Arabidopsis thaliana: one gene and its partner. The protein of the gene in region 2 purifies or fractionates together with the protein of the main gene of each other region. This does not show direct contact. Each region holds a gene or a part of one and is shown on either strand. Other genes may lie near its edges.

The links.
Region 1: the proteins of IMS1 (region 2) and AXL fractionate together in Arabidopsis thaliana (co-fractionation; one large-scale study listed by BioGRID). This does not show direct contact.

Annotation. Positions count from the first base shown.
Region 1 is NC_003071.7:13,755,460-13,759,385, forward strand, and holds the start of AXL (AXR1-like protein), read left to right. Parts: upstream 1-2,133; 5' UTR 2,134-2,242; coding exon 2,243-2,280; intron 2,281-2,388; coding exon 2,389-2,561; intron 2,562-2,654; coding exon 2,655-2,818; intron 2,819-2,911; coding exon 2,912-3,022; intron 3,023-3,108; coding exon 3,109-3,188; intron 3,189-3,318; coding exon 3,319-3,469; intron 3,470-3,563; coding exon 3,564-3,657; intron 3,658-3,906; coding exon 3,907-3,926. Other genes in the region: GLR5 (glutamate receptor 5), read right to left, coding at 1-163, 513-774. UniProt on the Arabidopsis thaliana protein: Regulatory subunit of the dimeric ECR1-AXL1 E1 enzyme.
Region 2 is NC_003070.9:27,840,068-27,843,993, forward strand, and holds the start of IMS1 (2-isopropylmalate synthase 1), read left to right. Parts: upstream 1-2,041; 5' UTR 2,042-2,190; coding exon 2,191-2,897; intron 2,898-3,035; coding exon 3,036-3,249; intron 3,250-3,335; coding exon 3,336-3,416; intron 3,417-3,581; coding exon 3,582-3,674; intron 3,675-3,775; coding exon 3,776-3,862; intron 3,863-3,926. Other genes in the region: ENO1 (enolase 1), read right to left, coding at 1-255, 385-539, 765-1,072, 1,446-1,834. UniProt on the Arabidopsis thaliana protein: Catalyzes the condensation of the acetyl group of acetyl-CoA with 3-methyl-2-oxobutanoate (2-oxoisovalerate) to form 3-carboxy-3-hydroxy-4-methylpentanoate (2-isopropylmalate).

The DNA of each region.
Region 1 (3,926 bases), on a different chromosome or scaffold from region 2:
CGAAGAAAGAAGGGAAATTGGAGGGCAGAGAGAGTTGGATCAGTTGCTGCAAATGAGACAAGAGGAAAGTGGAGCCCTTTTGCAATATCGGAAATTGTATGAGCAACAGAGGATGAAATTGGACCGATCATAGCCACCACTTCTTTCTCAAGCAATTCAAAAGCTGCAAAACAAAAACCACTGAAGCTTAAACCAGGCCCTTAGTGGTAAAACCAAAGTTTTGTTTCCACTTATGTACAGGAAACACAGGTCCTAGTAACAGCCTGTTTAGGGTATGCGGTCTATATTGTTCTATGCATTATTAGCATTCGGAACCCAAAATATGTACCAATAAAAAACGGATTAAAACGTAAATCGATGTGCCAATCATTTCCAACTATCACAAAATGAAATATTGTTGCTACTGATGTGCATTGACCGCTTTCTATAATATGTTTGATATACTGTATCAGCCATGGATGAGTGTCACAAGTGTTTGAAACACAAAAGAACTAGAAGAACAGTCACGGTACCTCCAAAGGACCCACGAAAGACATTGCAGGCAGAATCCTCCATTAATAGCCGTAGCTCCGTTTCTTTGAGAAAGCTTTTATCATTGTTCACATCGGAAACAGCTGCCTCTAGAGCTACTTTTGCAGCTCTTCCGATAACCGAATCAAAAGCAAAAACAGCACCGATGTTCACCAGTTGAGGTCTTTGGCAATCCATTGGAACCACCAGAATGACCACAATCAGTGCCGTAATAGCGACAGATGGGTCAATGCCCAGTCCCATGGAGATAATGCAATCAAAGTAAGGACCACTTCAGATAGTTTGTGTTGGAACTAGAACCATCTCATTTAAATCTAGCAACTCTTCATTCAGCATTGAGGATGAGAAGATTAGAGAACTAAGCAAGGTAAAGTTTCCAACTTTGACCTGTAGAGTCAATGCGATTAGAAGACGAATCAAGATCTAAGCGAAGAGCAATCACAAGTCAAACCAAATTGATTATTTTAGCTGAAAACTAGCAACAATGTGGATATGAAGACTTATATACACAAACTCATCCGGACAGAAGAAAAATCTGAAAAAGAGTTTTTACAAATTCATTGAAATTAACAACAGTGAGACATTCTCTTTACCTCTTTGAGCTACCTTCTGGTTCTCTCTGCGGAATATACGCAAACACTTTGTAGGCATAAGTTAAAAAAGGGAAATTTTACGACAACGCAACGAATTTTTAACAAGAGAAGTCAAGAACTATCTTTTTTAAAAAACCATGATTTGACAGGAGATTACTAAAGGAAGAGAAACAAAACTAGAGAGATCAAATCATGCCCAGAAATTCATCCATCATTCTTCTTCTTCTGAGAACAAAATAGAAGAGAGAAATTGAAAAACGTGTGACTGAAGTGCTTTTTTGATTCGAGCTCACAAAGTCCTATCTAGTCTATATACTCTATAGTCACAGCAGCCGTTTGTTTGTATTTTTGTTTTCAGTGGGGCCCATCATTATTGGGCCCTACATGTAACGGCCCATTTTGTTAAGTTTATTTAAGATTAGATTACAATATAAATATTTTAATTGCCATGTGTTAATCATTTTATTTCTTCTCAAAAGTTTATTCTCTTAAGTTAATTTGTCAATGAAATGTTAATAGTATTTCATTTTATTTTTGCATAAAGAGAGACCCGTAGCAAGGCAAAATTTGAGTTGGCGTTTTTTATTCATAATAAAGATTTTTAGGCGGCAAAAAACTATTACATAATGAGATTTTATCACTTATTCATCTAATAATATTTAATTAAATTACATATGTGTTTTTTTCTAGCTATGTCATTTATTTTTACAATTTATATAAAATTTTGATATGTTTCCATGTATATATATATTTTAATAAATGAAAACTCAATCCAGAAAACATAAATTTTGATTTTATTTTAAATTATATGTTTTTATTTATAATTTGTTATCTCTTTTATACATTAAGGTGTTTTTGCAATAATACAGTCTTAATTTTTAAAAATTACAATTAAGCCCTAAACTTTGTAAATGTTCCAAATTAGGAAGGAAATAAAGAAAGGAGACAACTTAAGGTTCTCTTATTAAATGCCATTCCCTTTCTTTCTTACAAGTCACAACCTCTCTCTCTCTCTCTCTCTCTCTCTCTCTCTCTCTGCGTCTTTCTCTTTCTCTCTGTCTGAAGTTGAGAACACGAACCACTGAAAAACCCGCGAAAGACTCGAGCACGAACCAACAATGGCGGAACCCAAAACCAAGTATGATCGTCAGCTAAGGTGCACTCTTTCTCCTCCCAACTCTCTTTCTCTTCTTCAACTTCTCTGTCTCTTTCATCATTCTTCTTAATTTCGCTCAAATTGTGATGATTGGGGATAAATTCATAGGATTTGGGGAGAATTAGGTCAATCAGCTCTTGAAACCGCGAGCATATGTTTGCTCAATTGTGGTCCAACTGGCTCTGAGGCTCTAAAGAATCTTGTTATTGGTGGAATCGGAAGTATCACCATTGTCGACGGATCTAAAGTAGAAATTGGCGACCTTGGAAACAATTTCATGGGTATAATTCTCTCTTTTTCATCTTTCTTAAGCAATGCGTTTCTTCTATTTGCTGTTTATTGACATTTATTGATGATTGTTGTTGATGTTTCAGTGGATGCGAAGAGCGTTGGTCAGTCAAGAGCCAAAACGGTCTGTGGCTTTCTTCAGGAGCTTAACGATTCTGTTAAAGCAAATTTTGTTGAGGAGAATCCAGACACTTTGATATCGACAGACCCATCTTTCTTCTCTCAGTTCACTCTAGTTATCGCCACTCAGGTACATTATGTTGAGGATTAGATAGTTTCTAGTCTTTGTTTTCAGATTTTCACAGAGCGTTTGCCTTATTAGTTTGTCATGTGTTGATTGTAGCTAGTAGAAGATTCAATGGTGAAATTAGATAGAATCTGCCGGGAAGCAAACGTCATGTTGGTTTTGGCTCGCTCCTATGGACTTACTGGGTTTGTTCGTATCAGTGTAAAGGTAAGATTTTTGTGGATAGAGTGCTTTGTCACTTGTCATATGGTCTGTCTGCTAACTGCTATGTCATGTTCGCTCTTTCCTGTCAGGAACACACCGCTATTGAGACAAAGCCTGATCATTCTCTTGATGATCTCCGCTTGAATAGTCCATGGCCTGAGCTGAAGAGGTACTCTGCTTCAATCTTCTCACTCGTTATGTGTTCTTGCCATTCTTTAAACTTGTGTTTCAAATTACTTTTAATCTCCACAAACTTGCAACCAGTTGAAAGAAAATCTTATTTATTCAATGATCTGCAGCTATGTGGAGTCCATTGATCTAAATGTAGAAGAACCCGCTGCCCATAAGCACATTCCTTACGTCGTCATTCTAGTCAAGGTGGCTGAAGAATGGGCTCAACACCATAGCGGCAACCTTCCATCAACCAGGGAAGAGAAAAACGAGTTTAAGGTATCCTTACTTTTTGTTAATCAGCAAACAGTTATTAATCTTTGTTTTTCTTGTGATTCCTTGTCTTTATCTCTCTTACTCCTTGAAATTTTAGGACTTAGTTAAGTCCAAGATGGTATCAGCGGATGAAGAAAATTACAAAGAAGCCCTTCTTGCAGCTTTCAAAGTCTTTGCTCCTACAGGAATCAGTAAGTATACATACACCTCGTCTTGACATCGGTGGAAACTGGACTTTTAAATATATACTATAGATGCTGGAAATAAAGAAATTGGTTGGAGAATGGGAAAAACTGCAACGAGAACCAAATGGACAACTATCTACTATTTTCATGAAGCATGATTCATTGCTGCTCATTCATAACAGATCAGTTAACATTGGAGTTCAAAATATGAAGTCAGTTTTCACATTGAACTAAACATGTTTTCTTTTTCTCCAGGCCAAGAGATTCAAGACATT
Region 2 (3,926 bases):
GACTAACAAGTCATCTCCCACGAGTTGGATATCCACAGAGGATTGCAATGAAGCCCATGAGCTCCAATCATCCTGGTCAAAAGGATCTTCGATAGAGACAATTGGGAAATCCTTGATGAATTCTCTGTAGAGGTCAGCAAGACTCTCGGCTGACAGTACGTGAGCTCCATCGTTTGGCTGTTTCTTGAAGTTCAAATCGTATCTACCATCTTTCATGAAAAATTCTGATGCAGCAACATCCATTCCTATTTTGATCTGCAAAAATTATATATTATGTGAGTGGTGTAAGATTGACACCGAAGCTGCCAGAAGTTGTTTAGGGAAACACAGATGACATGCAACTTTAGCAAGTATTAGCATTAAAAAGAAAGAGAACTTGATTACCTTTCCAGTGTAACCGGCCTTTTCAATTGCATCTATGAGCAGAACTAGTCCCTCTCTGTTATCTTGAACATTCGGCGCAAACCCTCCTTCATCTCCGACATTACAAGCATCTTGACCATACTTAGTTTTGATTATCCCCTTCAATGTATGATAAACTGTAATCAACAAAGTACATTAAATGCATTACTATCAGAAAAACAATTCTTTGTGATAATCCAAAGAATAGAAGAACTTTGGAACCAAAAGAGAAATATGAAACAGGAAGCTGCTTATCAAGGCTTTTCTGTTTTTCTGACATTTCATTGCAAACTCAAGAAAAATTAGGAGCCGCCATAGTTTCTTAAGTTCTAGCAAGTTAAACCCAGTTATCACTAACTGACCTTCACTTCCCATCTGGAAGGCCTCCGAGAATGAGGTAGCTCCTACAGGTAGTATCATAAACTCTTGCATAGCCAAACTATTCCCAGCATGACTGCCTCCATTGATCACATTGAATGCAGGAACTGGCATGACAAGCTCCTTTGTTCCTGATGTTTCCTGGATGTGTTTGTACAAAGGCACTCCTTTAGCTCCAGCACCTGCCCTGCAAACGCTCAATGACACTCCTAATATCGCATTAGCCCCGAGTTTCGACTTGTTTGGGGTCCCATCCAGTTCCAGCATAAGAGCATCGACATCAGCTTGGTTCCTTAAAGAAAATAAGGTAAAAATATTACATTCAACTATCCATCACCGATTATAGTTTCCCAACGGTTCAGAATCAGAAACCACAAACGGAACAATTCAACAATGACACCTACTTCAACACTTAGTAGTATCAAGTATGAAGCAAAATTAAAACTACATGCAACAAACAACCTTAATAACCTTAACTAGAATTCCAAATTCAACAGTCATGCATTACGATTCGAATCCAAGTCCACCAAATTGACCAGTAGTAATCCAGAGCAGAGAAACAAAGCTAAAACAACTCCGAAGATTTCTATCTAACTAAGCATACCAACTCCAAATCACGACGTTTATATGTTCATTTAGATTGAGGAACGAATTCTTATTCTCACCTAACGTCAACTCCAATGAGTTTTGGAGCCACAAGTTCATTGATGTTTTTAATAGCCTGTAATACACCTTTACCACCATAGACGCTCTTGTCTCCATCTCTAAGCTCAAGCGCTTCGTAGATCCCGGTAGATGCACCACTTGGAACAGCCGAACGATACAGATCATCGGTAATCAGATCAACCTCCACCGTCGGATTCCCTCTACTATCAATAATCTGTCTCGCTTTCACTCCTTTCACTCTGCACTCCTTAGCCACCACCGAGCATTGGACACCGCTGCGACGGAATCTCAGACATGATGGCGCAGATTCCAAATATCGTTCGCCGGAAACACGCGACGGAGAGAGGAAAGATCTCTGAAGATGGTGAGGTTTTGTAGTCAAAGCCATTACACGATACCTAAAAAAAATACTCTCTGTGATTCTTTTGACTAAAATGGAGAAGCGGAGAATAAAATGATGTTATATAATTTGAAAAACGTCCTTTTGGAGGTTGGTGCAGGCGGAGGCGATGAAAACTAAGGAGTCAAAAGAACCATACTTAAACCGGTTCATTTTCCAATTGGTTGACTGTTAAAGAGAAGTTTCTGGTTTTGGTTTGGTTCGGTTCGGTTCGGAACAATTCAAATAAATAAAACAAATCAAAAATATTCACTAGCAAAGTAGTAACCAGAGACACTGTGCCGTCGCCCGTCGCCGCCGCCGCCACACTATCATCTCTCTCAGGTTTTTGATTTTCCACGGCAATGGAGTCTTCGATTCTCAAAAGCCCTAATCTCTCTTCACCATCGTTCGGTGTACCTTCAATTCCCGCCTTATCCTCCTCCTCCACCTCACCATTTTCATCTCTTCATCTCCGATCACAGAACCACCGTACCATCTCTCTTACCACCGCCGGAAAATTCCGTGTCTCGTATTCTCTCTCCGCTTCTTCACCTCTACCACCTCATGCTCCTCGCCGTCGTCCCAATTACATCCCTAACCGTATATCCGATCCCAATTACGTCAGAATCTTCGATACAACTCTCCGAGACGGTGAACAGTCTCCCGGAGCTACACTAACCTCCAAGGAAAAGCTCGATATCGCTCGTCAATTAGCCAAGCTCGGAGTCGACATCATCGAAGCTGGATTTCCCGCTGCTTCAAAAGACGATTTCGAAGCTGTTAAAACCATAGCTGAGACTGTTGGCAATACCGTCGACGAAAATGGCTATGTCCCTGTAATCTGTGGTCTCTCGAGATGTAACAAGAAGGATATTGAGACGGCTTGGGAAGCTGTGAAGTACGCTAAGCGGCCAAGAATCCATACGTTTATTGCCACTAGTGATATTCATCTGAAGTATAAGTTGAAGAAGAGTAAAGAAGAAGTTATTGAGATCGCTAGGAACATGGTTAGATTCGCCAGAAGCTTGGGATGTGAAGATGTTGAATTTAGTCCAGAAGATGCCGGAAGGTAATAGTTTTGTTGTAAAATGCCGTCATGGAATGTTCTCAAGTTCCTTTTTTTTTGGATTCGATGGTATTTTAATGTATTGATGGTCCTTTATTAGTAGCTGATTCTGCTAACGTGAAATGTTTAATTGGTGGCCAGATCGGAGAGAGAGTACTTATACGAGATTCTTGGTGAAGTGATCAAAGCTGGAGCAACCACTCTTAACATACCTGACACTGTTGGTATAACCTTGCCTAGTGAGTTTGGTCAGTTGATTGCTGATATTAAAGCTAATACTCCTGGGATCCAAAATGTTATAATCTCTACACATTGTCAGAATGATCTTGGACTCTCCACCGCCAACACTTTATCTGTATGCCATTTTTTTTTTCATATTTGGTTGGATCGGGTTAGCTGTTAGAAGTTATTACTAACATGTCAATCTTTTTTTGAATTCAGGGTGCACATTCGGGCGCGAGGCAAGTGGAAGTGACTATCAATGGAATTGGCGAAAGAGCTGGAAACGCTTCATTGGAAGAGGTCAGATATGAAAGCCTCCTGAAGTAGCTTCCTTTCCATAGTTACTTAGATATTATGCTACATACTAAGGCATTATGACTTTTGTGATTTTCAGTTTATGATCTCATAGTGAACTGCATATAAATACTTAAATTATTTCTTGAACATTTTATTCTTACTGTGTAGGTTGTCATGGCCATAAAATGCCGTGGAGATCATGTCTTAGGAGGCCTATTTACTGGAATCGATACCCGGCACATTGTTATGACAAGCAAGATGGTACACATTTTGAACTTCATTCTTAACTCTGTGGAAACAAAAGTATATTTTTCTTATTTGGCGATTTTCCTTTTTTTTAAGGTCTATTCTCATTTTCTCAGGTTGAGGAGTACACTGGTATGCAAACGCAGCCCCATAAGGCTATTGTAGGAGCAAACGCCTTTGCGCATGAAAGTGGTATTCATCAGGTCAGTTAATCAATCGTAATTTATGCTATTCTTAGTGTCTCTGTGACTAAAGTCTGCTTCACTT